7 linked regions of the Cricetulus griseus genome follow. The protein of the gene in region 3 interacts with the protein of the main gene of each other region in a biochemical or structural test. Links are inferred from orthologs where the notes say so. Each region holds a gene or a part of one and is shown on either strand. Other genes may lie near its edges.

The links.
Region 1: the proteins of Cdc42 (region 3) and Ncf2 form a complex in vitro, tested with the Homo sapiens proteins (2 studies listed by BioGRID and IntAct). The link is inferred for Cricetulus griseus from reciprocal best matches to the Homo sapiens genes CDC42 and NCF2.
Region 2: the proteins of Cdc42 (region 3) and Wasl form a complex in vitro, tested with the Homo sapiens proteins (3 studies listed by BioGRID). The link is inferred for Cricetulus griseus from reciprocal best matches to the Homo sapiens genes CDC42 and WASL.
Region 4: the proteins of Cdc42 (region 3) and Pak2 form a complex in vitro, tested with the Homo sapiens proteins (4 studies listed by BioGRID, with this or other methods). The link is inferred for Cricetulus griseus from reciprocal best matches to the Homo sapiens genes CDC42 and PAK2.
Region 5: the proteins of Cdc42 (region 3) and cdc42 effector protein 5-like form a complex in vitro, tested with the Homo sapiens proteins (2 studies listed by BioGRID). The link is inferred for Cricetulus griseus from reciprocal best matches to the Homo sapiens genes CDC42 and CDC42EP5.
Region 6: the proteins of Cdc42 (region 3) and Trip10 form a complex in vitro, tested with the Homo sapiens proteins (3 studies listed by BioGRID and IntAct). The link is inferred for Cricetulus griseus from reciprocal best matches to the Homo sapiens genes CDC42 and TRIP10.
Region 7: of the proteins of Cdc42 (region 3) and Arhgap32, one has a biochemical effect on the other in vitro, tested with the Homo sapiens proteins (3 studies listed by BioGRID). The link is inferred for Cricetulus griseus from reciprocal best matches to the Homo sapiens genes CDC42 and ARHGAP32.

Annotation. Positions count from the first base shown.
Region 1 is NC_048598.1:38,811,024-38,814,575, forward strand, and holds part of Ncf2 (neutrophil cytosol factor 2), read right to left. Parts: intron 2,898-3,552; coding exon 2,756-2,897; intron 2,544-2,755; coding exon 2,475-2,543; intron 1,579-2,474; coding exon 1,503-1,578; intron 1-1,502. UniProt on the Homo sapiens protein: Subunit of the phagocyte NADPH oxidase complex that mediates the transfer of electrons from cytosolic NADPH to O2 to produce the superoxide anion (O2(-)).
Region 2 is NW_023276806.1:202,727,171-202,731,310, reverse strand, and holds the start of Wasl (neural Wiskott-Aldrich syndrome protein), read right to left. Parts: upstream 2,830-4,140; 5' UTR 2,627-2,829; coding exon 2,519-2,626; intron 1-2,518. UniProt on the Homo sapiens protein: Regulates actin polymerization by stimulating the actin-nucleating activity of the Arp2/3 complex. Involved in various processes, such as mitosis and cytokinesis, via its role in the regulation of actin polymerization.
Region 3 is NC_048595.1:15,952,683-15,957,013, reverse strand, and holds the start of Cdc42 (cell division control protein 42 homolog), read right to left. Parts: upstream 2,814-4,331; 5' UTR 2,692-2,813; intron 1-2,691. UniProt on the Homo sapiens protein: Plasma membrane-associated small GTPase which cycles between an active GTP-bound and an inactive GDP-bound state. In active state binds to a variety of effector proteins to regulate cellular responses. Involved in epithelial cell polarization processes.
Region 4 is NC_048597.1:57,460,629-57,464,180, forward strand, and holds part of Pak2 (serine/threonine-protein kinase PAK 2), read left to right. Parts: intron 1-607; coding exon 608-715; intron 716-2,980; coding exon 2,981-3,113; intron 3,114-3,552. UniProt on the Homo sapiens protein: Serine/threonine protein kinase that plays a role in a variety of different signaling pathways including cytoskeleton regulation, cell motility, cell cycle progression, apoptosis or proliferation.
Region 5 is NC_048602.1:22,427,750-22,432,007, reverse strand, and holds the start of cdc42 effector protein 5-like, read left to right. Parts: upstream 1-1,412; 5' UTR 1,413-1,657; intron 1,658-1,952; 5' UTR 1,953-2,060; intron 2,061-4,012; exon of another isoform or gene 4,013-4,101; intron 4,102-4,258. UniProt on the Homo sapiens protein: Probably involved in the organization of the actin cytoskeleton. May act downstream of CDC42 to induce actin filament assembly leading to cell shape changes. Induces pseudopodia formation in fibroblasts. Inhibits MAPK8 independently of CDC42 binding.
Region 6 is NC_048598.1:96,232,911-96,237,232, reverse strand, and holds the start of Trip10 (cdc42-interacting protein 4), read left to right. Parts: upstream 1-1,495; 5' UTR 1,496-1,618; coding exon 1,619-1,642; intron 1,643-2,822; coding exon 2,823-2,938; intron 2,939-3,022; coding exon 3,023-3,079; intron 3,080-4,322. UniProt on the Homo sapiens protein: Required for translocation of GLUT4 to the plasma membrane in response to insulin signaling. Required to coordinate membrane tubulation with reorganization of the actin cytoskeleton during endocytosis.
Region 7 is NC_048597.1:144,646,871-144,650,422, reverse strand, and holds part of Arhgap32 (rho GTPase-activating protein 32), read right to left. Parts: intron 2,159-3,552; coding exon 2,087-2,158; intron 1,001-2,086; coding exon 122-1,000; intron 1-121. UniProt on the Homo sapiens protein: GTPase-activating protein (GAP) promoting GTP hydrolysis on RHOA, CDC42 and RAC1 small GTPases. May be involved in the differentiation of neuronal cells during the formation of neurite extensions.

The sequences.
Region 1 (3,552 bases), on a different chromosome or scaffold from region 3:
CCGCCCACAATGCCCAGCGTCCTACCCTTTAACATCTAAAAATCTCACTCTGAAGAATCTCAGAGACCACAAGCATGGGAGCGAAGCCAGTCTCTGCTTCTCGGAAGCATTGCTAACTATCAGAGGACTGGCCTAAAGGCCGGTTAAACGAGTAGGCCCCAAGGCAGAGCGAGGTCATGTGACATGAGCCGGAGCCCCAGACATAAACAGCAGAACCTTACCATTTCATGGTCCTGTAGTGTTGAGTATGTTTGTGGTTTTAAAATGCATAATATGTTAACTCAGCAGTGTGTGGGTAATAGGAACTATTTACCACCCAAGATGTAAGAACCATTAATCACAAATTCATTCCCAGTAGATTAGAATCACTTGGGACATTTTGCTAACATCAACCAAAGGTCTAGGAATCCGGTAGTTCAATCTCTTCAGCATTGTATCCTTTTGTGAACCTCCAGATAGGGAAGGTAAGAACAAAAATGCTTTGATGAACACTATACAGGGCCACTGAAGTATTTACACGTGGAATAGGCGGGCGGTGTCCTAGATGAGAATGCATTCCTTAGGCAGAAGCTGTGCCTGTTCGTAGGGGAGTTATACCCAGGTAGATTGTATCATAGGTCTGTAACTTATATTTAAGTGGCTCACAGGGGCAAAGAGGTACTGATATGTTGTTTACATTTAAAATTTTTCTTTTAGCATGTGTGCATGATGGGAGGGCAAGTGCCCTGGCGTGTGTAGAAGCCAGAGGACAATTTCTTTGGGGAGTTGATTCTCCACTTCCTGCTTTAAGTAGGTTCTGGTAACTGCAGTCATCACCAGGTTTATGTAGCAAGTGCCTTTAACTACAGAGCCACCTTGCTGGCCCATAACTGGTGTATTTAAGTGAAAAGTGTTGTAGTATTTTTTGTATCCTACTTCCAACTTTTCTGAAGGTCTGCAATTTTTCAAATAAATATGCAGGGGAGGGGCATAAAAGCAGCTCCAATAATCAGGTAGTCATGGAAAGAGACCTCTGTCATCTCCATCAGAATCTGCTTAAACTCACCAGTAACAAAAAGTCATTGCTTTCCAAGACAGTGCTACCCAGCTTAAGAGAGATCCTTCTGGAAAGATCTCCCATCCACACCTTCCAGTGAGTGGTCCCTTCTTCAAGCCCTATAGTCTGGAGAGCACATACACCTCAGTGGTTTGAAGAAGGCTGGGGTGAGAAAATGCAGTTACTGCTGCCTTTCTTCTTGGACCTAGTTTAGGTCATTTGGTGACTGCTCTCATGACAGGCACTTAACTGTCCCTTCATCTGCACTCATTTCTAAGCAGGTGGGGGAGGGGCATTGCCATCACCATCCAGTGGCATGATGGTGCAGGCAAGACAGGGCTCTGAGGAAATGTAGTCATCAGCCAAGAGGCATGCTGGGTAAAGAAACCAGAATTTCCTAGATGGCTAGGAAAGCAGCTCTTCATCATGAAGCATCCCAGAGAGCTTCTGCTCCTGGGCCACCAACCTGGTGACAACTGGGATCTTGCTGGGGCACTGGTACTAGGAGGAGGTGGAATATCAGATTCCAGGGAGGTGTCCTCCTGGAGGTGACAAGAGGAGACAGTCAGACAAAAGCATGAGGGCTTCCCTGGAAAGAAACTGGATGCAAATGACTAAAAAAGTTAGGGTGATATGACACAGAGAGATGACTAAGGAAAGGGGGCTAATTCGTGGCAGCAGTAAGAATCTTAATGCCCACAAGGCCCTTCACGCCATCTCATCAGCCATTTTGAAAACCCACCAAAGTGGGGTGGCATGCTGTGCTTCTGTGCCCACTGCAGAGTGTACAGAGAAAGGGAAAATTTCACTTCCCATCTGCAGGGCATTTGAAACTTTGAAGTGCCTCAGTTTCATGACTGACCAGGGAGGGTTCCACACATGTGCATCTCATTACACACTATAAAGAGACAGACCACGTGCTGTCCTCAGAGGGCCATGTAGCTAAGGATGACAAGCTTCTGATCCTCCTGCCTCCTCTTTCCAAGTGTTAGGAGCACATGCCATCGTGCCTGAATTATTCAGTGCTGGGGATTGAGCCAGGGCTTCATGCACGCTACGCACGCACTCTGCCAACTGAACTACATCCCCAGCCCTTACTTTGTTTTAAATGGCATTGTAGTAACAGACACATTGATGACTCTCCCTGGTGAAAAGACTTGCCTGGGAACATCTAGCTCTAATGGTCAGGCTTCGCTTTCCAAGTCTTCCTGACCAGAAGGACTCACAGGGTGGGGCGAGTCCAGTGGATTCCTAACAGTTGCCTCCACTTGGCATAGCTGATCTTTTCTTGTCAGGCCTAGGCATCTGATATCAGCTCAAGTGGCCCAGAGCTAGTTGAGTCTTTCTTCCATGACAGGAAGACTGCCCCTTTTCACATATTCTTCTCCCTGGAGGGCTATGTGAGGGGTGGGGGGGGGCGGGGCTAGGCCTACATTACCTGGGGCTGCGACTGAGGATGGATCCGAAGCTCAACTGGCTCCAGGTAGTTGCAAGGGACAAGCCCCTTCTGCAGTGTGGCATCCCAGGACACAGAAAGGAAAACAAAGACTCATTAGTACCCAAAACACAGAACAGTCTACAGCCATGCGTAGGGACAGCACTCAGATGATGGCCCAGGTCTGCAAATAATGCAGCAGATACCACCGTCCCATGGAAGAGCTCTGCCCTTTGCTGCTGGGACCCTATGCCCTTAGCACCTCCCCATGACCTTCCAAATACCTGTCCATTGAACATGACTGTGGCCCAGTTATCACTGCCCTTCTTCAAGACAAAAACGATGTTCCCTGGCATGACCTGTAGCTCTTCTGGTGTCTCAGGCACAAAGCCAAACAGCACTCGATGTGCCTCGCCTTCCAAAGCCCTGAAGGGTACACAGAAGACCCAGCCCATCATTCAGCTTGGACCACACACATCCCCTTACTGCAGGAGAAGCAACGGAGGCCAGAGACTTAGCTTGGCACTCACTCTAACTCCACATCTTACTGTCTATGAGACAAGAGCAGGGTGCTGGCCTGCATGGGATCCTGAAAGGATGAGGTGAGAAACCGCAGGTGAGTCGTTCCATAAGCACACAGGAGTTCCCCTTGTCCTCAGGAAACACTACACAAGAATCCAAGAGATGGGTGAACCCATATATGGTACCCAACCCTTGTATGCCCCACGCTTCTACACCTAGGTATACACATGGCACAGCTTTCACTTATGAACTGAGCACACCACCCACGTGGCTGTAACTTTTATAATCCCTGGTTGCCGGCAGAATTAGCACAAATTCCTTTCCCGTAACACTTAGTCAACAGAACACGTTGTGTAGAACACCCCACCCCCATCACTCATCCTCTCTATATTGTCTTTGTTTTTTGAGATGGGATATCACTCTGTAACTCAGGCTGGCCCGAGCTTTCAGCAATCCTGCCTCTGCCTCTCAAAGGCAGGGATTAGAAATGTGAGCCTCCATACCCTACCCTTTTTCCTATTAAGTCAACTTTCATGTTTTAACATAAAAGACAGCCTTA
Region 2 (4,140 bases), on a different chromosome or scaffold from region 3:
AAATACAGAACAGGAGAGTGAAGGGGCTTAGCCAAGCTCTGAGCTTACACACCCACATCTCCTGACTACAGACCTAGAATCCTGCTTGTGACAGGCGCCTCTTGCATATTTATTTCTTAAGTACTGACTTATTCATCAGTTTATTTGTTGTTTCCTTCATCAGACACTAAACTCCCCGAGGGCAAGCATCAATCTTGACTTTTGACCTCAACGTTCAGTTACTCAATACATGTTTATTTGATGAAACAAGGGATGAAGAACTTGCTTAAAATCCGGCACCGTATAACTAGTTTCATGCCTTGACTTCATAGACTGAGCTCTGAATGTATCAGTTTACTACATTTGATCTGACCTGTAACTCTACTGCTTGATTTATGAGACAATGCATTTCACTGTTGTTTTAAACAAAAAAAAGGGAGCCTAAGTCTATAAAAATTATTCCAAAACATTGAGTTTACATTGCTCTCGATTGAACCAAAATCTCCAAAGTTTAATTTTCACAATTTCATCTTACAAGAGAAGGCAACAACAATGTGGTTTTAAATTACAACAATTCAAAAGGTAAAGTTGATTAATAATATATGACGTAAAGAAATTCATCGCTGACTGCTTGCAACCAATTCAGCAACCTACTTATGCTTACAGTGAGCCATGCTATCTTTGTCTATCAAAATACACTCCCACGTCTGTCATTTCCTTGAAACCCTGGGTAAACACTACAGTTAAGCTCTGAGCAATGAGTACACTAGGCACATACATGCAATGTCCTCCATGCCTGGAATTCATGGGTCTGGTATGTGAACACAGAAAGCTCCTTAACTTTTGGTAGATTGTACACTAAATGTAATAAACCAACAAAGTTGGCCCTGTTTGCAGGCAGCTCATTAAAAAAAAAAAAAAAAAGCTGGAGACTTTCCCAAACTGAAAATATGCAAAACATTGTTTTTAGAAACTCACATTTTAATGATATCCATTCTATGTAAAAATGAAGTAGTTATTCCCTTAACACCACTTTGACAACCAAATTATTAAGGGGGAAAAATCCTCAAGAAACAACATGCTGTAGTGGAAAGTACAAAGGGACTAGACATAGAGTTCCAGTTACATTCCTAAATTACTGTGACTTGGGGCCAAGGGCTCCACTTTCTCTTTTGTTTAAAATACTATATACCAGGAAGGACTTCTTTCATTTTTAAAGTTGTCTCCCCAGCTTTCTTTCTTTCTTTCTTGAAACTGTTTACTACTTCTGGTTGTAGACTTGGTGTTCTTTAAAGTCTAAATTTTTGAACAAGAAATACATCTTAAGTCCAGAAGTAGATATAAAAAGTAAGCTCATAAAGTTAACAATTAAGCTGGTAACTTTCCAGAAACTGTCTACTCTTAACTTCTTAAGCAGGTGTAGTCTGGTTTGACATATCTAACATTGCTAAGGAAAAATATAAAATGGTCCTACTCAGCTGAAACTTCTCAGCGTGTTTCCTGGGTTCCAGGGGCACACACTCGGCGGGTGTTAGCAAGAGACTAGTCAGTATTTTAACAATCCCCCTTTCAACTCAAGAGTCACCTCAGTAAGACCAAGATAAGGCCTTCACCAGGGAGAGCCTTCCAGCCCCAGAAGCGAGTCGTGAATGCCTCCGTCAACAACAGGCATTCCCCCTTCCCACAGAACTACTCGCTCCCAATCCGCCATCTGGGGTTGGGATTGGCCCCACAGGACCAAACTCAGAATCACTTTTGACTCCAATGGCCAGGAACTAGTAGAAACTGCGGCGTCTCTATGCATGGCTGCGGTGAGAGCAGCACTCTCTCTTACCAATGCAAGGAAGAAAAAAAAAAAAAAGAACAAAAAACCAAAATAAAACAAAAAACAGTGGGGCGGAGTGCAGAAACTAGGCCTAGGCGCAAACGCTGGGGAAATAAGCCCTGCTTCTTTGCAGTGGGGTGCAGGCGCATTTCCTGCCCCTTCCTCGCTCTGAGCCGGTGTCCGGGAACCTGCACTCCACTTTACCCTTCTCACGGAATCCTAAAGGGGGGATCGATAAAGCCGATGCGCGCTTCTCCCCTCCTCCCCGCATCTATTCACTCCTAAAGCCCCGAGCATTGTTAACGAAGACAGCCCAGATCCACAAGTAGGAAGTAAAGCAAGGCTGGGCTCCCGTTGGGAGATGAAGCTACTGATGCACCCAGAAAAATTCCCTTGTGGTCTAGAGTAAAGTTTGAACCTGCAGCAAGGGCGCGGACCCCGACTTGGACTTCTGGGCAGGCCCGCAGAGGTGACACTCCCTGGTTCTCCAGTAGCTCAGGGAGGCGGCTCCCGGCCGGGCAGGGCCGGGCAGGGCGGCCTGCACCCGGGGCAGCACCCGGGCCCGGGCGAGCGAGCTGGAGGCCTGGCCCGCGGCGGGACCCCGGCCGCGCGCGCCCGCCCGCCCCCTTCTCCCTCCTAACTCTCTAGTGCCCCGGCCCGAGCCCGCCCGGGGACGCGGTGGGTGGCGACAGGGGTCTCGCTCGGCTCACTGACCACACATTTCTTGCCGAGGAAGGAGAAGAGCGACTCGTTCTCCTGCGGGGTGAGCAGCAGGGAGCCCACGTTGGTGACTCTCCGCGGAGGCTGCTGGCCCGAGCTCATGGTGTCGCCGGCGGGGTGCCGCGTCCAGGGCTGTCTCCTCAGGAGGTGGGCGAGCACTCACTCACTCGGTCCCGCTCGGGGTGACAGGGGCGCGGGGCCGGCGCTCACAGGCGGCGCAGCATCCCGCCGCTCCTCCGCTGCGCGGAGGCCGAGGGAAGGAAGGAAGGAAGGAGCCGACGGCGGGCGAGCGCGCGCGGACTGCGTGCCGACAGGGAAGCTCCCGGCTCCCGCCCGGCTCGCCTCGGGCCGGATGGTCGTCGTCCTCGCACTCCGCGGCGCGGCGGCGGCGGCGGCGGCTAACGCGGCGACTCCTCCTCCTCTGCGGCGGCGGCGCGGCGGCGGCTGCCGCACAATCCAACATGGCAGCGGGGGCGGGCGAGACCACGGGACGCGGGACGCGGGGGAGCGCGCCGGAAACGCGGCGCGGCCGGACACCCCTCCTCTCGCTTGCTGGTAGCCGGGGCGTGGCCGCGCAGGCCCCACCCCCTTCCGGGAGCCAGCGGAGGCCCGCGCACCCGCTCAGCCCGGACCGGGGCCGCCTCGCGCGTGCGCAGAGTCGGACCGAGGCGGGGCTGCAGAGTCCGGCGGCGCACCGCCTTACCGCAGCGCGCACCGGGCCGCGCGTCCTCCCGCCCCAGTGGTGGCCAGGGTTTGACATTTAGCGAAGTGGGACTCTCAGGCCTCCTGGCAGGTCTAGATTAGCTGCAAAGGTCGGCCAGCGTGGTTGCGGGCGGAGCCTCCATCAGGTGCCCCCCGGTTCTCGAACTCACGACAGGCTGCCACTGGGGGCGGGGCGGGGGCGGAGGAACAGACCTTTGCCAGGATCAGGGGAGGCGTCTTCATAGATGTCAAAATCGGACCCGCTTTCAAAAGACGTCCACCACCCCACCCCCCCCGCCTGGCGGATCTCGTGGGATAAGTGTGTGTAGTATTTACACTCGAATTTTCCGACGAGCCCCGAATGCCACTTTTTTTTTTTTTTTTCTTATCTTGTGAATTGGAAACTAACCCTCTCTCCATCGTCCTCAGTCTCGAATTCCTGTACAGGATTATGCCTTACCTGTTTTATCCTTTCGAGTTAATTTTTCTAGTTGCTGGGACCTAGGCCTGGGGTGCACTCAGCCAACTGATCTACATTCCCAGCACAAGTCAATACGGAGAATTCTTCATGACTGTGTTTCAGAATATCAGAAGTTATTATAAAATAATACGGTTGAATGGAAAACTAAAAAAAAAAAAACAGTATTTAAAAACTTGGGCGTATAGAAATGATAAATCAGATTGCATCGAGTTATATAAAATGTACATTTCACCATTCTTCACATTAAGGATAATTAAGGATACACTTTATCACATAAATTGTACTAACGATGTTCTCCAATCATTCAGTTTCAATTAAACACTTGCATATTAAAATTTTATGACATGATAACTCTCAATGCATTGGTAAACCATTACCAAAAGTAATGAAAATATAAAAGTTTTCAGGCTGCCTACAATCCCCATAGTGAAAT
Region 3 (4,331 bases):
AAAATATAAAACACTTTGTATGCATGTATGAAAGTATGAAGGAATAAAAACATTTTAAAAAACTATTTCAAGTGCAAAAAAGAAATCCTAAGTAAACAAACTTTGACATTTTGTAAACTTCAGGATTCAGTCTTGATGGGCTTGCTTAGAATACTGGACAGGGGAAATGTGTTTACTAAGCTACGGGGTTGGTCACTGTATGAAACATCTTAAGAGAATGTAACAGAAGACAAGACACCTTTGGGTCTTGAACAAATTACTGTATATATTTTCAAAGCTCCTTTTTAATACTCAGTTAATTACCAATCTTATTTCCTTGCCTTAGTCTAAAACCTAAAACTTCAAAGTAATTGCTTATTTTTATTATTACTGTGTGTATTTCTAAGTGTGTACACATGCATGCTTGCATGCTGCCAAAATGTGAAGATCTGGGACAGTTATTGTTTTTCTTTTTTCAAGACAGGGTCTCTCTAGTCCTTGATGTTCTAGAACTCTCTATGTAGACAAGGGTGGCCTCAAACTCAGAGATACACCTGCCTCTGCCTAAGATTGAAAGTATGGAACACTAAATAAATCCAGCTAGATGACAACTTTTGGGAATCAGGATTCTCTCCTCCCACCATGGGTTCTGGGGATCCAACTAAGGTAGTCAGACCTGCCTGACCAGTGCTTTTATCCACTGAACCATCTCACCAGCCAGATTACTTAATTAAAAAGAAAAAAATACAAACTGGTGCACACACAAACTTTTTAAATAAATACAAATTGGCTCACATATAAACTTTTTAAACATAGAAAGCTAAAAAATACAGTAGTAAATAAATGCTCCAATGTTATACTCCTATGTCACAAAAAGACTAACAGTGTATTTTGGAAGATTCAAGCGCCATACCTACAAACTACAGAAAGTCAATTTGAATACACCACTCTGGTGTTTCTTAACAAGCAATGCTATTTTCTATACAAATGAGCAATAATGGGAAAATTCTTTCTCAAACATGAGCCACCCTTAAAAGGATGCATTACACAAGTGGACCTCATTTGCTCTGCAATGTTAATGTTCTTCAGCACTGCTGCATTTTATAATCAAAGGACACAATTCTAGTGATACAAGTCTAAAAATATTACTCAAGTTTTGGGGGTTAAAAATTAAAACCAAGGGTGGTAATTTAAGTAGTTCATGCCTGTAATCCCAGCACTTAGGCGGCAGGGACTATTCTATCAGTTTCCCATGACAGAACATAAATAAGTCCTATAAAGAGAGACTTAGAAGGAAGGAATGTCCCTTTAAGGTCAAGGCTAGCCAGAACTAAACATAGAGACCCTGTTTCAAAATAAAAAATAAATCCGAAAACCATTTTTAATGGTAAAACTAAAGCATGCAACTTTAAGTTGCAATTCTAACAAAGACAAATCAGATATACAACTAAATTCTCTTTTTAGCTCACCCTTAGCACCATGCACCAAATTTAGGTTCCTTACATCAGGTTAAGTCACAATTGGTCAGTGTGGCAAAGAATTGCTCCCACAAGAAAGTTCAACCGAGTACAGACAGCCAAGGGGACCTTTAAAGTTCATGCCTACCTAAGTGGCTGCAGACAGTGTGTATTCCCTGGCCAAAAATAACCTAAGCCTAAGATTTTTAACCTTTCCGTATTTTAGATGCATCTCAGGCAGCCATCAAGGCAGGCAACATGATTTCAACAACAACAAAAAAAAAAAACACACCACCTGACTCTGAACCGACGTGCTGAGTGGAGTGACCCACTAAGGCCACAAGATGTATCTTAATTTGTGGAGCCCTGACTTGTAGGAGTTAAAACTCTCACCCCTTATGCTGAGATGACGTAATCTTCCACACTGCATTTCTACGGGACTTAAAGGGGAGGAAAGAGGAATTAAAAAAAAAAAAATAGAAAAACCAACAAAGAAAATTTCCTGCTAGTAATGAGGAACCGAGCAAGCGGCCAGGCGGGGTTTCGGGAGGTGCTTAGACAGGTCCCGGAAGGCAAGGAGGCCGGCCCAGTCGCGGGAGCCCCGGGAGCCGCGGGGCAGGAGCGGACGGACACAGCGCGGGGCTGGGGACCGCCGAGGGGCGCAGGCGCAGAGCCGCCCGGTCCGTCACCGTGGCCCCGGCCCGGCCCTGCGGCCGCAGTTCCGCTCCCCTCCCCCGCCGCCCGCCCGCAGCAACGCGTCCACGGCGGAGCCCGGGAAGCAGGAAGTCGAGACCGAAAACGTAGACGGCGGCCGGCGGCCCCCGGCCCCCGGCCCCCAGCCCCCGGCCCGGAACCCGGCCCTACGTCCGCTGCCCCCGTCCAGGAGTCTGCGGAGCCCGGGCGGGCGGGAGGGCGGACGGGCGGAGGGGGAGGGGAGCCGGTGGGATGGGTGTGCCTGGTTCTCCCGCCGCCACTGACAGCTCGGCCGGGATGCGCCCTCCGCCGCCGCCATCCCCGGCAGCGCCTCGTCGCCATTCCGGCCCCAAATCTCTCCGCGACCCCGCCTCGTTCCCCTCAGAACCCGGGCCCGCGGGCGCACGCGAACCCGGCAATCCCCCCCCTCGAGGCCCGCAGGTACCGGGATGCCCCCGACCGCGAGCATCCTCGAGGACCGAGGGAGGGCGGGGGCGCGCGACAGGGACCGGGCGATGCACAACACACTCCCGCGGGGAGGCTACTCGGGCCCCGCACTCACCTCAGCTTCTCCGCCGGGGCGTTGGCAGCACTGCGCGGGGCCTCCTCGGCTGCCGGACAGGGGCACGCGCCTGACGTCAGCACGCAGGGGACGCACGGTTGGGTGCCCGCGGAAGTGGGCGGGACAAAGAGGAAGAAGGGGCTGGAACGGGCCGCGGTGGGCGTGGCTTGGTAGTGGCTCCGCCCGTATCGCGCACGCGCGGGCTGAGTTCCTCCTATACTCAGGTTTTCTGCACGTTTTACCAGTGATTTTTATTCGTAATAAAACTATGAACAGAAGTGTTCACAGTGTTGTCACTAAAGTTTGTTTTTGTCCTTGGAACTTTGTGAAGAAAAGCATTGTAAATATATCTTATTTTTAATTTTTTTATTTTGAGACAAGGTGTCATTATATAGCCCTTGCTGTCCTAGAATGGCTATATAGACCAGACTGTCCCAGAACTCATATTCTCCTGCTTCTGCTTCCTGCGTGCTGATACTCAACACCATGTCTGGGATGTCTTTTTGGTTTGGTTTGGTTTGGTTTGGCTTGGCTTGGTTTTTTTGAGACAGGGTTTCTGTGTATAGCCCTGGCTGTCTGGAACTTGCTATATGGTCCAGGCTGGCCTGGAACTTGGAGATCCGCTTGCCTCTGCTTCCTATGTGCTGGGATTAAAGATGTGCATCCCCATGACCAGGGTACCTTTCTTTAATGACGTTTGAGACAGGGTCTCATGTAGCCCAGGCTGGCTTTGAACACAACTATGTAGCAGAGGTTGACCTTGAACTCCTGATCCTCATCCTTGCACCTCCCAAGTGCTGGGATTGTAGGCATGCATCTCCACACCCTGCATCCTTTTTTGCTTCTCAAAGAGAAATAGAGACTTGTTGTGCACAGCTTTCTGAAGCCCACGGGCCTCTAAACAATCTGCCTGTCAAGGAGTGAGAATAGAATATTGCCCTGGGTTTTGTTTAGAGCTAGAGACCCGCCCCCTCAAAAAGGTCCTGCATTTACTCTGCCTAGCTCCTCTTCCCTGGCCCCCTAGGTTGACTCTTGAAGGGACTCTAGCCAGCCCGAGTGTGGCAAACATGGCCTTGTCCTCCCACATCCCCTCTGTCTTGCTAAAAATCGTTAGATTATAATCCTAAAACTAGCCACCATGGTCCATTCCCTTATTTAGCCACTTCCTCCTCCTGAGGCTGACTGCCAATGTCCAGCTATCAAAGTATTGTAGTCCAGCGATCAAAACCCCCCTTTGTCTTACCTAATTAACCTGTCCAGTCAAATTTCATCCTAACTCAGGATTTCCCCCTTTTACCTTTATAAACTGCTGTTTGTCTATGGGCCATGTCTGTCTCCTCTCAATCCAGAGGCAGTCCTTTGTACCTCTGGGACAAATATTCCTTCCCTCCTCTCCCTTGTTCTCTTTCCCTTCTCCCTGGTCCTCTGTCTCCTGTCTTTGTCTCATATTCCCTGCCCTCTGTCCCCCTGGGTCAAATAAATCTCCTTTGTGCTGAGAACTTGGGGTGTCTTGTGCTAGTCCCTTCAGCTCTGATCTCTCAAATCCTTCTACCTTCCCTGTCTTCTTGGTACCTGTTTGTTTGCTGTCTTCCCTGTTAGTGCGAAAGCCGCTAGAGAATAGGGATCCTGTCCTAGTCTCA
Region 4 (3,552 bases), on a different chromosome or scaffold from region 3:
TTCTTAAGTTACCTACTTGATTAATTGAAAAAGTCACGTTAAGTAAATAGAATTTTATGGGCACTTTAAAGCAATAAACTTAATAATAACTTCCAGAGCAATTTAGCTACTTCTCCAGTGTTGCCATATTGAACGTGAATATGGTGAACTGGTTTGCATATTCTCTTTTCCCCAAACCTCCTTCCAGTACCTTTCTGGGTATGGTAAACTGAGGCACATTCTAAATAGTTCACACATGTCAGCTCCTTTTCTTGCTTTATTAACTGTTGTACCTAGATCTTTTAAATGCCTCAAAATGAGGTTTTTTTACATCGTCCAGAGGGCCTTTGCTTTGGTCCAGTGAAATGGATTGCTTACCTAGGAGCTATGGATGTAGCTCAGTAGTAAAGCTATTACACCATACACAGGCCTGGGTTCAGTCCTTAGCAGAACCTCCTCCCCACTAAAAATGATACTTGCCGTACATATTCATTTACTTTTTAATTGGTTATATCAGAACCAGTGGAGTTCAGTTGTTTTTAAATGAGCTGTTGAAGAAATAAATTTACATTTTAACCTTTTAATTTTTCTGGCTTGTCCTCCTTTTTTGCTCCCATGATGAGTGCAGCTGAATACTAAGGGATCAGAAACGTCAGCAGTAGTGACAGAGGAAGACGATGATGATGAAGATGCTGCTCCTCCTGTCATTGCCCCTCGGCCAGACCATACAAAATCAGTGAGTGAAATGTTTAAAGGCCCTCGAACTTAAAATACTGCAGTATGCAGAAACTTGGTTGTTTATCAAAGCCTACTTTTTGGTGCTGATGAAATGGCTGAGCAGGTGCTTTCCACCAAGCCTGACAGCTTGCATTCAATCCCCCAGACCCACATGGTAGAGGAAGAGACCTAACTCCTCCAACTTATCCTCTGACTATCTCATGCACAGTATGGTGGGTGTGCACACACATGCACACAATAAGTAAATTAAAATGAATAATAATGACTTAGAAAAGTAAAGTCTTTTTTTTTTTTTTTAAGATTTATTTATTTAGCCGGGGGTTGGCGCACGCCTTTAATCCCAGCACTAGGGAGGCAGAGGCAGGTGGATCTCTGTGAGTTCAAGACCAGCCTGGTCTACAAGGGCTAGTTCCAGGACAGACTCCAAAGCCACAGAGAAACCCTGTCTCAAAAAAAAAAAAAAAAAAAAAAGATTTATTTATTTATTGTGTAAACAGTGTGTTCTGCCTACACGTTGCCTGCAGACCAAAAGAGGGCACCAGATCTCATTATAGATAGTTGTGAGCCACTACATGGTTGCTGGGAATTGAACTCAGGACCTTTGGAAGAGCAGTCAGTGCTCTTAACCTCTGAGCCATCTCTCAACCCCTAAATGTTTCTTTTTTTGTTTGTTTGTTTGTTTTTGTTTTTCGAGACAGGGTTTCTCTGTGACTTTTGGAGGCTGTCCTGGCACTTGCTCTGTAGACCAGGCTGGTCTTGAACTCAGAGGTCGCCTGCCTCTGCCTCCTGAGTACTTGGATTAAAGGTGTGCAACACTACTGCCTGGCCTGAAAAGTAAGGTCTTGAGTAAGCATGGTGGTGTCCATCTTTAATCGAGCATAGTAGGTGTATCTCTCTTTTGAGTTAAGAGGCCACAATTTAGTGAGTCCCAGACCAACTAGAGCTACGTACGAAGACCTAGACCCTATCTGTAAAAGCAGACAAAAAAGAAAATTACAGCTTCTTTAAAAGTTAAGAAACTTAATTTACTGGGTTTTTCTTCCTTGTTTCTCTCTTACTCTAAAGAGGATCTATTTTTTTAGCTTTCTCAATATAGATAACTATTATATCTAAAACTAGATCATTGCTGTTTTCTGAATTATGTATTTTACCTTGCTTTCAAAGGCTATGTTTATTCAAGAGGTGTTTAAGAATGAAATTACTTACCATTAAGAGAATTTTAAGAGTAAGGGCCTTAAGTAGAGCCAGGCAGTAAGAACGGGCTCCAGTACTGCCCTTCCCGCTGTGATGGAATGGAAGGCTGCCCCAGGGTTCTTGCTCCACTCAGCAACAGAACTGAAACTGATGCAGTGGTGGAAGACTGTGTTTTCTTTATGACTTAGGACTGGCTGTTTGAAAGAATATGATCACTGTTGAATTTATGTAAATCTTACAGAGGGAGGTGGTTATAGTTATCTCAACATCAGCATTATTACTCTTTTCTGTTTCTAAGCTGTGTTGGGTTCATTTTGTTTTTGTTGTGGGTTCATTTTGTTTTTGTTGTGAGCCAGGGTCTCGTGTGGTCTAGGCTGGCTTCAGTCTCGCTATGTAGCTGAGGCTGGCCTGGAATTCCTGATCCTCCTGCATCTGCTTCTCAGGCACCCAAGTATAAGTGTGTGCCCTGTGCCTGGCTGCAGGTATGCTTTTTTTTTTTTTTAATTTATTTTTACTTTATGTGTGTGGATGTTTTGCCTAGGTGTATATTTGTGCAGCACATTGTACTTGTTGCCTATGGAGGTCAGAAAAGGACATCAGATCCTTGGACCTGAGTTTCAGATGGTTATGAGCAGCCATGTGGGACCTTTGGAGAAGTAGCATGTGCTTCTTTTCATTACATTGTTCTCAGTACTTTAGATGTAGTCACACTGGAAGGAGTTTCATAGACCTATTTTGCTAGATATTTTCAAAATACATACATGCTGTGTCAAAAAAAATACATTATACATTATTTTCCTGGTTACATGTTTTGGGGAGGTGGAGTATTTGTAACAGGGTCTTATTGTAGCCTGGGGTGTCCTCTTACTTGCCTCCTGAGTGCTAGACTTACAAACAGGCACCACTATGCCTGTGTTTCTTGTGTGAGTATACTGTCCCATTCTTCAAAACAGTGGGAAAGATAACTTAGTTTGGTTTTTTAAAAAAATCAAAGAATACATTTTCTGCTACTAAGACTATCTGAAAATGGTTTTTTCTCAAGTCTCAACAATGAGCTATATCTTTTCAGATTTACACACGGTCTGTCATCGACCCTATTCCTGCTCCAGCTGGTGATTCTAATGTTGACGGTGGTGCCAAGTCTTCAGACAAACAGAAAAAGAAAGCCAAGATGACAGATGAAGAGATTATGGAGAAATTAAGTATGCAGTCTATACTTTATTTTCTTAAAAACATTTGGAACAGAGCTGGAGATAGTTGTTGCCCAGTGAGAAACACTTGCTGAGTGTGTGCAAAAACCCTTGGTCCCTGCCAGCCACATCTAAAGGACATTGTTTGAAACTCTATCACAGGGGCTTGAATATAACTTCTCAATACAAACCTATAAAAATGTTCCTTATAGGCCGGGCGTTGGTGGCGCACGCCTTTAATCCCATCACTTGGGAGGCAGAGGCAGGAGGATCTCTGTGAGTTCAAGGGCAGCCTGGTCCCCAGAGCGAGTGCCAGGATAGGCTCCAAAGCTACACAGAGAAACCCTGTTTCGAACCCCCCCCCCCAAAAAAAAAAATAAGTTCCTTATGGGCTGGCAAGATGGTTCAGTGGGAAAGGGCACTTGCCACCACACCTAGTGTCCTGAGTTCA
Region 5 (4,258 bases), on a different chromosome or scaffold from region 3:
GTGTGTGTGAGTGTGTGTCTGTGTCTGTGAGTGTGAGTATGTATGTGTGTGCATAAGTGTGTGTATGCATGTGTGTGTCTCTGTGTGTGAGTGTGTGTTCATGAGTGCGTTGAGTGTGTACGTGTGTGTAAGAGAGAGGGGGCTTAAAAGAGAGACAGTGATTGTGCAAATGAGTCTTAGTAGTTGTCTTTCTCATTCTGGGTTGTTAACACAGTGACCTCCAGGTTCTACCCATTTCCTTGTGCTTTTCTTCACGGCTGCACAAAACTCCATTGGGAATATACACCACAGTTGCTTTATCCATTCACGTTTCTGTGACCCCGGCTCTTGGAACTCACCGACATCCACCTGCCTCCACTATGCTCAGCCTTGACCTTTCTCTTAATGTGCTCCCTCTTCTCTGGACTCTCTGCAAGTTCCCAGTGGTCCTTCCGTGTGCCGCTCACAGGGGCTTGCTTCTGAGATCTGTAACTCGGTCTCCCCTGCACCCCGAGTCTGCTGCCCACTTTCTGTAGATTTTGTCCTAAGCCACACCACACCACAGGACAGCAAACTCTTACACTCTTACTCCCACACTGTTAGGGTAAAGCGAGTGGAGAACCTTGGTGGACTCCATGGCAGGCGAGGGTGACAAACATGCCAGGCAGACAGATCTTAGTGAGGAGTTTTCTTAGAAAGGGAAAGGGGTGAAGTAAAGAGAACAGAGGCAAAGAGACACAGGGACAGGGAGAAGAACAGGACAGAAGAGAAGAGGGAGACAGGAAAAATCCTGCTTGCCCCAAAGGAACAGCAGAAAGAGAGAGGGAAAGAGAGAGTAAGTGGGCGGGGGTCTTTGTTCTAAAGGAGTCCTTTGCACCTGCGAGCAGACTATGCAACCATGGAACCCTGGGCTGACCAGGGGACTGCCTGAGTGCATTTTGCCAGGTGACAGGGCAGGCCAGAATCATGCCTGAATTCCTATCCAGCCAGGTCCCATCAGCTTCAGAAGGATGTTCCCAACACCAGTGTATTGTTTCAGCCACAGACACAGGGACTCAGGGTAATGAGCCTTCTTTGGAAGGTGGCTGAAATAGAACATCCATCTGGGGAGCTCTCCAGGGAGCTCTCAACACCACTTCTTTCTTCCAGCTGGGACTTTAGTTCTCTCTTTCCTTCTTTCCTCTCTTCCTGTCCCCCTCTCCTCAACACACACACACACACACACACACACACACACACACACACACACACACACACACACACACACACAACCAACCACTCCCCCAGCAGTCTGGAAGAAATTACTCTTCTAAACAGCCAGACTTCCCTGGTTTCAGGAAATTCCAAGCTGGGAAGGGGAGGGGCCGGGCTGGGGGCGCGCCCGTCCATCCCCCTAGCTCTGCCCCTGCTTCCACCCCTGCTTCCAGCTCGTCCAGTTCTGGTCTCCTCCTGCCCCCACACGGGCTCTCAGCTTTTCCACCGCCGTGGCTTTCTAGTCCTTTAAATCCTAGAGACAAACTTTGGGGGAATAAGGAAGGCTGGGAGGGGCCTAAGGCTTAACCCTCTCAACCCGGGACAAGAAACCAAGAGCAACTAGGCTGACTGGGCGTTGACCCTGCGCTCGCCTGGTAGGCTACCATGGCCCCCGAGAGGGGCTGAAACTTAGTTCCCGGTGCAGGTAAGAAGGAACCACAGCCAAGATTTGCCAGACTCTGGGATCTAATCTCCTGGGTCTGAGGGAGGAGGGCAGTGGTCTGGATTCCTGTAAATGATAAAAGAGTGCAGAAGCCTGGACCCCTGGAATGTGAGAGCGGAGAGCAGGGGAACTCCCAGCCTGTGAAACCAGAGAGCTAGGAGGTGGGGCTCCTGGGACCCAAGAGCGCAGAACCCTGCCTGAGGTGGTGGCACTCAGACGGCGTACCTAGGTCCTGGAGCCCCTTCCAGGCTGGGCATGACACTTGGTTTCTTGCCAGGTGAGATCCCGCCCGGAGAAAGAAGGAAAAAGGCGCCAGCGAGGTAGCCTCCGAGGCCAGGAGGTACCACATCTTGAGCCAGGAGCCCAACTCAGTCAGGACCACGAGGTGAGGAGGCTGTGGTGGGCAGGGGTCTTCAACCAGAGGAAGTCGCGGGAGGGGGGAGTGGTAGGGGGAGACAGAATAGTTAGCAAAGAGACCAGGGCCTTTGATGTCCCTGCAGCTTTAGGAAAAGGGTTACTAGTCCTAAGATCCCAGGGGTCTCCAGGTGGGATCCCCTGCCAGATCTGGGCTCCACCCTCCTCCAGCGTGAGAACCAGTTGAGCCAGCTCCGGATCGGGTTGTTATTTCCGTCCTGGCAGGGTTAGGACTAAGAGAGGACAGAGGTGACCCAGGTGTGCCCTCCACCCCCCTGCAGCTGGAGCCACACAGTGCCTAGGCAGGAAAGAGAGTGGAAATGGCCACTCTGCTCATCTGACCCGGTGCCTGTCCGGGCGGGCTGGGCCCCCTGTGTGTGCCTGCATCCACTCTGCTTTGCATTGATCCCCAACAACAGTCCCTCTGTCAGAGCCTAGGCTGATGACGAACTTTTTCCAAGAATGAGCGCTTTGCCTTGAGTGTGACAGCCTCGCGACGAGAAGCGCATTCGAGCTTAGAGCTGGAGGTGCAGAAGGACACCTAGGAAAGCGACTCCCTCAGGGTCGCAAAGCCAGCCAGGAGCTGCAGGGGCATTAAAATCTCCCTGTGCGCGTGCGAGAGGCATGCATGTAGTGTGTGCTTGCAGCATTCGTGTCTGCTAGGAGGTCTGAGGGCCTAGGTCGGGTGTCCTGCTAGATTATTCTTAGTCTTGAGATGGGGGAGGGTCTGTTACTTTTGGTTGTGAGCCTAGCCTTTAACGGCTGAGCTATCTATCCCTCCAGCCCTGGGAGGGTCTCTTATTCAAATCAGAGTTGAATAAGCCCCAGCTATCTTCCTGCCCCCGCCCTCTCTATAGCACTGAGTTTAGAGCAGTTAGCCATCTTTCCAGTCCAAAGAACTCTTTTGCTTGTTTGTTCTTGAGACTGCGTCCTGTGTTGCCTGGAACTGTCTACATAGACCAGGGTGACCTCAGACTCACAAACCTCCGCCTACCTCTGCCTTCTTTTGTTTTTGTTTTTGTTTTTGTTTGGGTAGGGCGGGGCGGGGTTCAAGACAGGGTTTCTCTGTGGTTTTGGAGGCTGTCCTGGAATTAGCTCTTGTAGACCAGGTTGGTCTGGAACTCAGAGATCCGCCTGCCTCTGCAGGCTGGGATTACAGGGCGTGTGCCCCCACTGCCCGGCTATCTCTGCCTTCTGAACACCGGGATGGAAGGCATGCTCTTTTCGGTCGTGACCCCAGCCTTTAACAGCTGCGCCATCTTTCTGGCCCCACAAAAGACTTCATAGATTGGAAAAGAAAAAGGCAGATAAGGTACCAAGGAATACCAAGGAAAGCTATGGCCTTTGTAACAAATTAAAACATGTATTTCCCATTCCACACAGCCCACCTCCTGTGAATGACTGAACTGTAACCACTTCGTTACATTTCACACTCCATCAGCCCATTCTAAACCCTGCGTGACCTTCCTTCCTTCCTGCGTGACCCAGGGCCAGTTACTGAACCTTTTTGTTTTTCATCATTGAAAAAAAAATTAAATTATCACCTTCCACTCCCTGGATTGTTCTGAGGACTAGAAGAGTTTGTGCAACTTTTCAAGGCACCTTGGCCAGGAAAAGATTCTTGGAAAGTGAAACGGGCTGTGCTTGTTGTTGCCTGCCACCCTTAACATACAGGGGCCTGACTCTTGCTTTTCAGGAAGAAATCTAGCGAAATGTTTAGGAAGCCGGTTAAGGTCCCATTAAGAAAGAAGTGGCAAATTTCCAGCCCCAGGACGTGTCATGTTGCAGATGCGATCCTAGCTGAATCTGGTGATGCAGACCTATAAACCCTGCTGCTGGGGAGTCTAGGCTGAGGCAGGAGGATCACAAGTGCAAAGTCTGTCTTTGTCAGAGAGTGAATTTAAAACCAGCCTGGGAACGGGGCCTTCGATAGCTCAGTTGGTAGAGCCGAGGACTGTAGTGGATAAGCTGTGGCAATTCTTAGGTCACTGGTTTGATTCCAGCTCGAAGGACATTGGGCATTCTTTTGCCAGGCGTTGGTGGCGCACACCTTTAATCCCAGCACTTGGGAGGCAGAGGCAGGCAGATCTCTGTGAGTTCAAGACCAGCCTGGTCTACAAGAGCTACTTCCAGGATAGGCTCCAAAGCCACTGAGAAACCCTGTCTCGA
Region 6 (4,322 bases), on a different chromosome or scaffold from region 3:
ACTCCTTTGCTGAAATCCCGATCTCTCCTCCACATTCCGATCCTAGGCACCTCACCCTATTTTACACGCCTAATCTTTTTTTTTGATTATCTTTATTATTTTATGTGCATCGGTGTTTTGTCTGCATGTATGTCTTTGTGAGGGTGTCAGATGCTGAAGTTACAGACAGTTGTGAGGGCTGGGACTTGAACCGGGGTTCTCTGGTAAAGCCGTCGGTGCTCTTAAACCACTGAGCCATTTCTCCAGCCCCCCCCCCCCCCCCCCCCGCCCATCTTCTACTGAGCCCCCAGATCTGGAAGAGTCCCAGCTTCTGGACCCCAGCTGTAGATAGTCTTCAACTCTTAACTAAATAGCTGATCCCGCCGCTAAACTCGCCACCCCAGTCTGATAGCTTATTCTCATCAGACCTCGGACCCCTCCTCCACCCCCTCTCCCCAACCCCCACTCGGCTTTGCGTGTGCGAGCTTATCCTTCAAGCTGCCAGCAGGTGGGGCTAATGCTCACCGGAGCCTCCGTTCCAGTGGGGTCTCCAGGGCATTTTTCCTCAAAAGTCCGGACTGCGCTTCTCTTCCAGATAAAGCAGCAGAGGGGTGTTTAGGTATTTCTGCAGTAACGGAGAAAGCACCTACGGCCCAGGAGAGCGGGGGTGGGAGCCACCAGGGCCTTTTTTTCTTTTCCATCTGGGAGCCTCAAGGGGATTTACAAGGTGTGAAAGGACCTTTATGATTGGGAGGACCGAATTTCTGAGCCCCAGGGCCCCAGGGTCTACGCTAGGGCGGGGGTGGGATGGGGTGGGGTGGGCGCGGGAGCCACCTAAGAATCTGGTACGCAGTACTGATTGGGCCTCAGAAAATGGGGCTGGGAAATGGGCAGTCAGGTGCAAGTGCGAGCTGTGTGTGTGTGTGTGTGTGTGTGTGTGTGTGTGTGTGTGTGTGTGTGTGTGTGTGTTTAGTCCAGAACTGGGGCCCCAAGGGCAGCCTGTCCTCAGTTTCTCAAAGGAGGTTCTGGCGGGGAGGAAGGGAAGTCAGGATGCGGTGGGGGTGCGCTAATGGACCTGGCATTAGCTGGAGGTGCGTCCAGGGCTGGATCGAAATCATCCCATCTGCTCTGTGGCCGGAGGGAACCAGACCATTAGTGAAACGAAATGGAGATTTCTGGAGCCTAGGTGGCCCCCGCAAGAGCCTAGTGACCGACCGCAGGTTTTCCCTGCCATGTGGTGGGGAGGAGTGGGTTTGGGATTTTGATATTTTGATCCTTTGTAAGAAATGCGAAGTTAAATGGAAAGGATGAATAGTTTGGGATGGCAGAGGAGAGTAATATCAGGGTACAGACTGGAAAGTAAATCGAGGCATCTTTTAAGGAGGTCCAGAGCCCTTTAAGAGAGGGCGGAACATTCGCTGAGCTCCGCCTCATTGGGTTCCTCCCTTAGGGCTCCCCGCTCCAGGCTCGGCGGGGCAGGGGCGTGGCAAAGCGCTAAGGGGCGTGGCGCACTGGTTGAGTGGGCGTGGTCTGGTGGCGGGGCGGGGCGGGGTTGGGCACACCGCCCTGGGGCTGAGTTTGGTGGAGGGTGGCGGGGACCCCGGCAGGAGGTGGTGGCGTCCCCGGCGGCAGGACGAGCATGGATTGGGGCACCGAGTTGTGGGTGAGTCCTTTCTTCCCAGCTCACACGGTTCTCCCTTGCTGGGGTCCTGGCCTCTCCGCTCTTTGTCCCCTATGTACCTTTGCCGGGACTCTGTGGTTTCCCTCGCAGCTGATCCTGCGGGTCCCCGCCTTCTGCCTTCAGCACTCTCTCAAAAGTTCCTTGGGGACTTTCTAGATGCTCAGAGGGCCCTAGGGATACTTTGCCTAGGACCCGTATAGGGAAACTGAGTCACAGAGTTGAGAGTGAGGCCATCACAAGAAGTCCCTAGACCAGGCCAGGAAGGGGGGGGGCAGCTGGGCGAGGTCACCTATTTTGAGCGCCCTGGCCTGGCTTGGAGGCTAATCTTACGGCCCCTGGGTCCCTGCCCGCCGCCCGGCTGGGAGGGGGAGGGGGGCCCCTTGGTCACCTTCTCTCCCACGTGGGGCCTCACTCGGTTGCTTCCCCGCTTGCAATTGCCCTAAAGGGCTTGGGACGCTGAGGGGGAGGGGAAGGGGGCTGCAGGACTCGGCTGGGCGGAGCCACCCCTTACCCGCCACTTAACCTCACCCAGGAAGCCCTAGAAGTTTCCCTGAATCCTTGTTGGACTATTGACCCCTCCTCTTTCTGGAGGCGGTGGAGTCTTCGGGTGTAGTGGAGGCAAGCCACTGTAGTGGAGGCATCACAGAAGCGGGGGAAACTGAGTCACACCCCGGGGATCGTGGCAAATGGGGAAATCTGGCCATTGAGGTTCCCTCCTTCCACGCACTTTGAGCTGCACAAACCCTTCCCTTCTGTGCCTGTCTTATGTGCCAAGCCCGCTTGATTTTCCGGAATTTGGGGGATTAGAGGGTTCGGAGGGAGCTGGAGTAGCTTAGCCTCCTCCCACACCCTCGTTGGCCACCCGGATTCCAAGAGACCCCGCCGTCCGGTTTGGGGCCCTGGCGCTGTTGTCCAGGCCCTTCCCGGGAGGAGGAGATGGGGGTTCCCGCCAGCTTCCTGCCTCCCCCTGCGCCACGCCGGGGCGGCGCCTGGGGAAGCCAGCCAGTCCTTGCTGGAACCGCCGAGCCACGAGGTTGTGTCGAGGTTGTGCCGTGTCCCACCCCCTGCCTGTGCGCCCCCACCCTCTCGTGCATCTGGTCTCTGGGGCTTCGGTGCTCCCTCCAGGTGACCCTGACCTCCCCAATCACTCCCCTGGAATCAGGATCAGTTTGAGGTGCTGGAACGCCACACGCAGTGGGGGCTGGATCTGTTGGACAAATACGTGAAGTTCGTGAAAGAACGCGCAGAGGTGGAGCAGGCTTATGCCAAGCAACTCCGGTGAGCGCTAGGGTGGGTGCTTGCTGGGGCTCCGCGGTGATCCGGCAGGTTCTCAAGCCTCCCTGCCTCTGTCCCCACCCTTAGGAGCCTGGTGAAAAAGTACCTTCCCAAGAGACCTACCAAAGATGACCCCGAAGTCAAGTAAGAATGGGATAAGACTCGGAAAGGGGCGGTGCGGGAGCTGGGCATGGGTCCCTCTCCTTCCCAGAGGACTCCATTTCCGCACCTCCAGTCCCATCTCCCATTAAAAGTCTGGGTGACCTGGGGTGAAATTTACTCCCAGCAGAGCATCCTTTTGGGTTTATAAATTGTCAACTTAGCACAGTTATTGGGGGAGAGTGGCTTTTTACTTTTACTATTTATTTAATTTTGAGAGCGAGGTGCACCTACATATGCCACGGGGCATTTTCCAAAGCCAGATGATAGCTTGCTAGAGTCGGTTCTCTCCTCACGATGTGGGTCCCAGGCCAAACTCAGGTCACCGTGCTTAGCTGCAAGCGCCCTTTACCTGTCCCCTTTATCTGTCAAACCGTCTCGTTGGCCCTAGTTTCTATCTTTGAGACATGGTTTTGGCTGTTCTGTTACTCCCTCTGTAGCCAGGACTGATCACTAATGAGGCAGCCCTTGTGCCTGGACTCCCAAGAGCTGGACTGACCAGCATGTATCATTAAGCCAGGCTTGGGCCAGTGACTTTTAATTATCTCTGTTCTAATCTGCAAAATGGGTCTGATGGTGGTGGTCCCTATTCTTGCTGGTGTGTACAAAGATGAACTGAGTTTATTTGTCTAAAAGCACCGGGCATGTTGGTGCACACCTGTGATCCTAGCACCCTTGGGTTCTAGGCTGGCCTCAGCTATGTAGTTAAGTTTGAGGGTAGCCTGGGCTGTATGATAGATACCCTGTCTCAGATTTCTAAATGAACAAACTGGTAACCAGTCTGTAGTTATTTCCAGGAACTTTAAACTGCATTCTGAACCCTTCCCCTTAAAATCTAAAAGGTGAGCTGGGTATGGTGGCAAGTACTTATTATCCCAGCACTCTGGAGGCCAAGACCCAGAGGTTGTGAGTTCCAGGCTGGTGTGGGCTACATAGTGAGACTATATTTTTAGTAAAAATGTAAAAAAAAAAAAAGTTTTAATCCAAAAGTTCCAAATTTAATCCCAAAACTCACAATATAAAAATTAAGAGTTGTCTTTCTGCTCTTTCCTGCTCTTCTTTCCTGTCTCCCTCTTCTCTTCTGTTCTCCCCCTGTGTCTTTACCTCTTTTCTCTTTCATTCCCCCTCCCTCCCCTGTCTAATAAAACTTTCACTCAAAAAAAAAAATTAAGAGAGTTATTTGTGATAGCTGGATAGATTGGTGGCTTGGTGTGAGTGATACTCCACT
Region 7 (3,552 bases), on a different chromosome or scaffold from region 3:
GAAAAACATTCTCTTTGATTCTAGCCTAGCTGTGGAGAAGACTCTCTTAAAAGGCACAGATGGCACACAGGACGGAAGACCCTCTTAACTTAGAGAAGGAATGGAGGAGAACAAACGGTACCTGTCTGACTCTGTCCAGAAGGTACAGCCTTGCTCTGACTGCTCGAGACAGGCCGCTCCTCTTTCCCTGGCAATTCTACTTCTTCAGCTGCCCCCTGCTCCAGGGGCTGTACTTCAGGTTCACTTCCTTCCTGTGCCTCTCTCTCACTTGATTTCATCTTTCCTATCTGGGTGGGGGATCTATTTATGACATCTCTTTCTTCCACACTTTTATCCCAAGATGGAGATGATGCATTCTGAGCTACGGAATTGGAGACAGTACCAATGACTTCTGACACCCGAGGTGGAAGAGTCACTGAAATGGGCTCAGATATGTTCATGGAAGGAGATTTGCTTAGCTTCCGTCCAATCTTCGGAGAGAAAGCGTAAACGACCTTTTCTGTGAATGAAGATGGCTTAGAAGACTTGTCCTCAGTTGGGCTCAAGTCCAGGGTGAAGAAGGGACTCAGTTTCTCCTGGACTGGAGACACAGGTTCAGAGCTTGCCGTGCTGCCTGGAGTCTGAGACTGGCTACCACCTGCTTCTACATCCTTCTTACTGATACTTGGTTGATCCCTGGCAAACCCTAACGAATCCAGAAAGGAAGCTCCACTCTCCAGACACTCTGACTCAGCTTTCGGAGGACTACATTGAAATGACATCGGATCAAAATCCAGACTGGCCACTCCAATGTCTGGTGGACTCAAGTCAACATCCTCGGCAGAATGAGGGGACACAAGAGCTGGAATATGGAGCAGCCCCACTTCCTCTTCACTCTCATTGTCGTGGGGCAGATTATCATAAGAATTGCAGCGGTTCCCCAGCATTTCTCCATTGAAGGAGGCAGAGAGTGCATCACTGCTAGATCTGGGTCTCCTGGGTCGGAACAACTTGGAATCACCTGTAAAAATGGACAACAGTGTCAAAGCACGACTGTCACAGGACACATAACACCACAATTAGTCACATCTAGTACAGTAGTAATATTGCATGAGGTAAGAAAAACGCAACTTTTAATCTTCTTCCCACAAACTGTTTCTGGGTGTACAGATGTCAGTCACTCTTATGGTAAGAGAACTTCCAAATCAAATAGTAAGCAACAAGTCCACGTGCTATAAGCAGCAAAGGATGCATTGTCTTATCCATAGCCTGATAAGAAAAAAAGCAAGGGACTCTTGGATTGTATTACTGATCCACTGACTTTTGGTGTGACACTGGGCAAGATTTTTACTTTCTTTGTGTCTTATTTTATCAATGGCTTTACATATGATTTATAAGTAGAAAACATCACTTAAAAATAGCACTTTGGGTATAATACAGTTTAAACAAAGTTTGCTTATTGTGGGAAAATATCCTTACTATGCCCAAATTTATTTTTACAGAAAAAAATGTTTCTTCCTAATAAAAAAAAAGCATTCACATGCATTTTATAAAGTACTTCATTCACACATTTACAATACTTCCACATTTTTGTAACGAGACAGGCTTTTCACTTCTCAAGCAAACCCAAGCTGCCCCAGTGTAGCACACTTGCTTTCATGAAGTTGGATTCTGAGTTTCAACTTAGGCTGTAACCTCACCTCCCTAAGTTCTGCCAAGACATTGTCCCCTTTGGAGCTAGACCCATTTTAAGCTGTCATGTCCAACTGCTAATGACCCTTGAGTACTGGAGATCACCCACCATCCATTAACAACTGAGAATCAAAGCTGCTCCCATACCAAATCTAAAGGAATTAATGATACTTGCTTTAAGAATTGACAAATATAAATATTTGCATTGAAACATTTTAGCCATTTGATATAAATAGCATTCATGCCGAAATACATCACCACATTAAGATATTCATGAGTTTTAACTGAACCATATTTAATAAATATCAATACTACTGGAAGTGATATTTCATAGTCGTCTTGCTAAGCACACATTCACAACATTGCCATGTGCATGTCCTTTTATGCAAGTCATCACAGAACATTTTAGTCTTACCGTCAACTGCATGGAGAGAAGTTAGAGACTCCTCACTTTTAGCTGAGCGGAGGGTTCCTTCTGCCCTGCCACCTAAACAATCAAAACGAAATAGTGTAAAACTGGTGATTATTAAGGATTTTGCAGTTAAAGGGCTTGGTGTCTTTCCTAAGTCTGCATTTCCAAGTGGGATTAGCTATGCATTTTGACAGTCACATTGAGTTTATCATCCCATTATGCTACATTATTGTTTTCCATGTGAAAACACTTTTCTACAGCGTGTGAACTTTCACACAGAGGTGAACTAAAACACTTCTTCCTTCTATGTTTCCTGATGACCAACTTGATAACCTTGAGTGATGTATTTAAAAGTTTTATTTTTACTCATGTGTCTGGTCCATGTGAGTGTATGCACATGTATGCCAGTGTGCTAGGAGGCCAGAAGAGGGTGATGGATCCCATGGAGCTTGTAACAGGTGCTAGGAATTGAACCAGTCCTTTAAAAGAGCTTTTGACCACTGAGTCATTACCTCTCTGATGACATTTTACAGAGGCCCAATCCTCAATGATGGTGCTCTTGTAAAAATACAAGACAACAAGGCACCAAGAAGAAGGCCCTGTGAAGATGCAGGCAGAGATTGGAGTGATGCTACCTAAAGGCAAGAGATGTCAGGAGCCAAGAGAGGATAGATGAAGAAGGAAGGAATCTTCTCTGGAGAACTTACAGGTAACCACAGTTGAGCTGACACCTGTAAGACAGAGTTTCCACATACTTTTGTGTTTCAGTCTCAATTCGTAATTATTTATAATGGCAGCCTCAGGAAATTCAGTTATTTTAACTAACTGCTAACCTCCCACGTCTTGCTGACTTGCTGGTAGCAAGCACTCCAAACTGCTTTAAGCTCTTTACAACCTTCCTAATCACCTCATCCTGCTCTTCTCTCTTGACAATAAAATCTCTTGCAATCCTTTAAAAGTCTCTTTTGTCCAACCTCTTCCCACCCTGCTCTCATCTCCTGAAATAGTATTCTTAGTCCCCTTAAAGATCAAGTGAATTGCACCTCCTTCAACACCCAAGTTAAAAGTTTTCTTCTTGGGGGCTGGCAAGCTGGTTCAGTGGTTAAGAGCACTGATGCTCTTTAGCAAACCTGGGTTGGATTCCTAGCACCCACACAGCAGGCAGCTCATAGCCATCTGTAACTTCAGTTCCAGGGAATCCAGTGCCCTCTTCTGGCCTTCATGTGCATGAGGCACATGGAGTGCACACACACAAATGCATGCAAGACATCCAAACACATAATGCAATATTAAATTTTTTTAGAGTTAAGCATTCCTGACTATCAGCCCATCCCCATGAGCACTGATATTGCCTGTCAAAGATGCCAAACAGAATTCTACTTCAGCTGTGCCTGCATACTCAAAGTCATTTTCTTACAGATTCCTTCCTAATTAGACACCTAATGCACGGCACTGCCTTAATTTTCTTC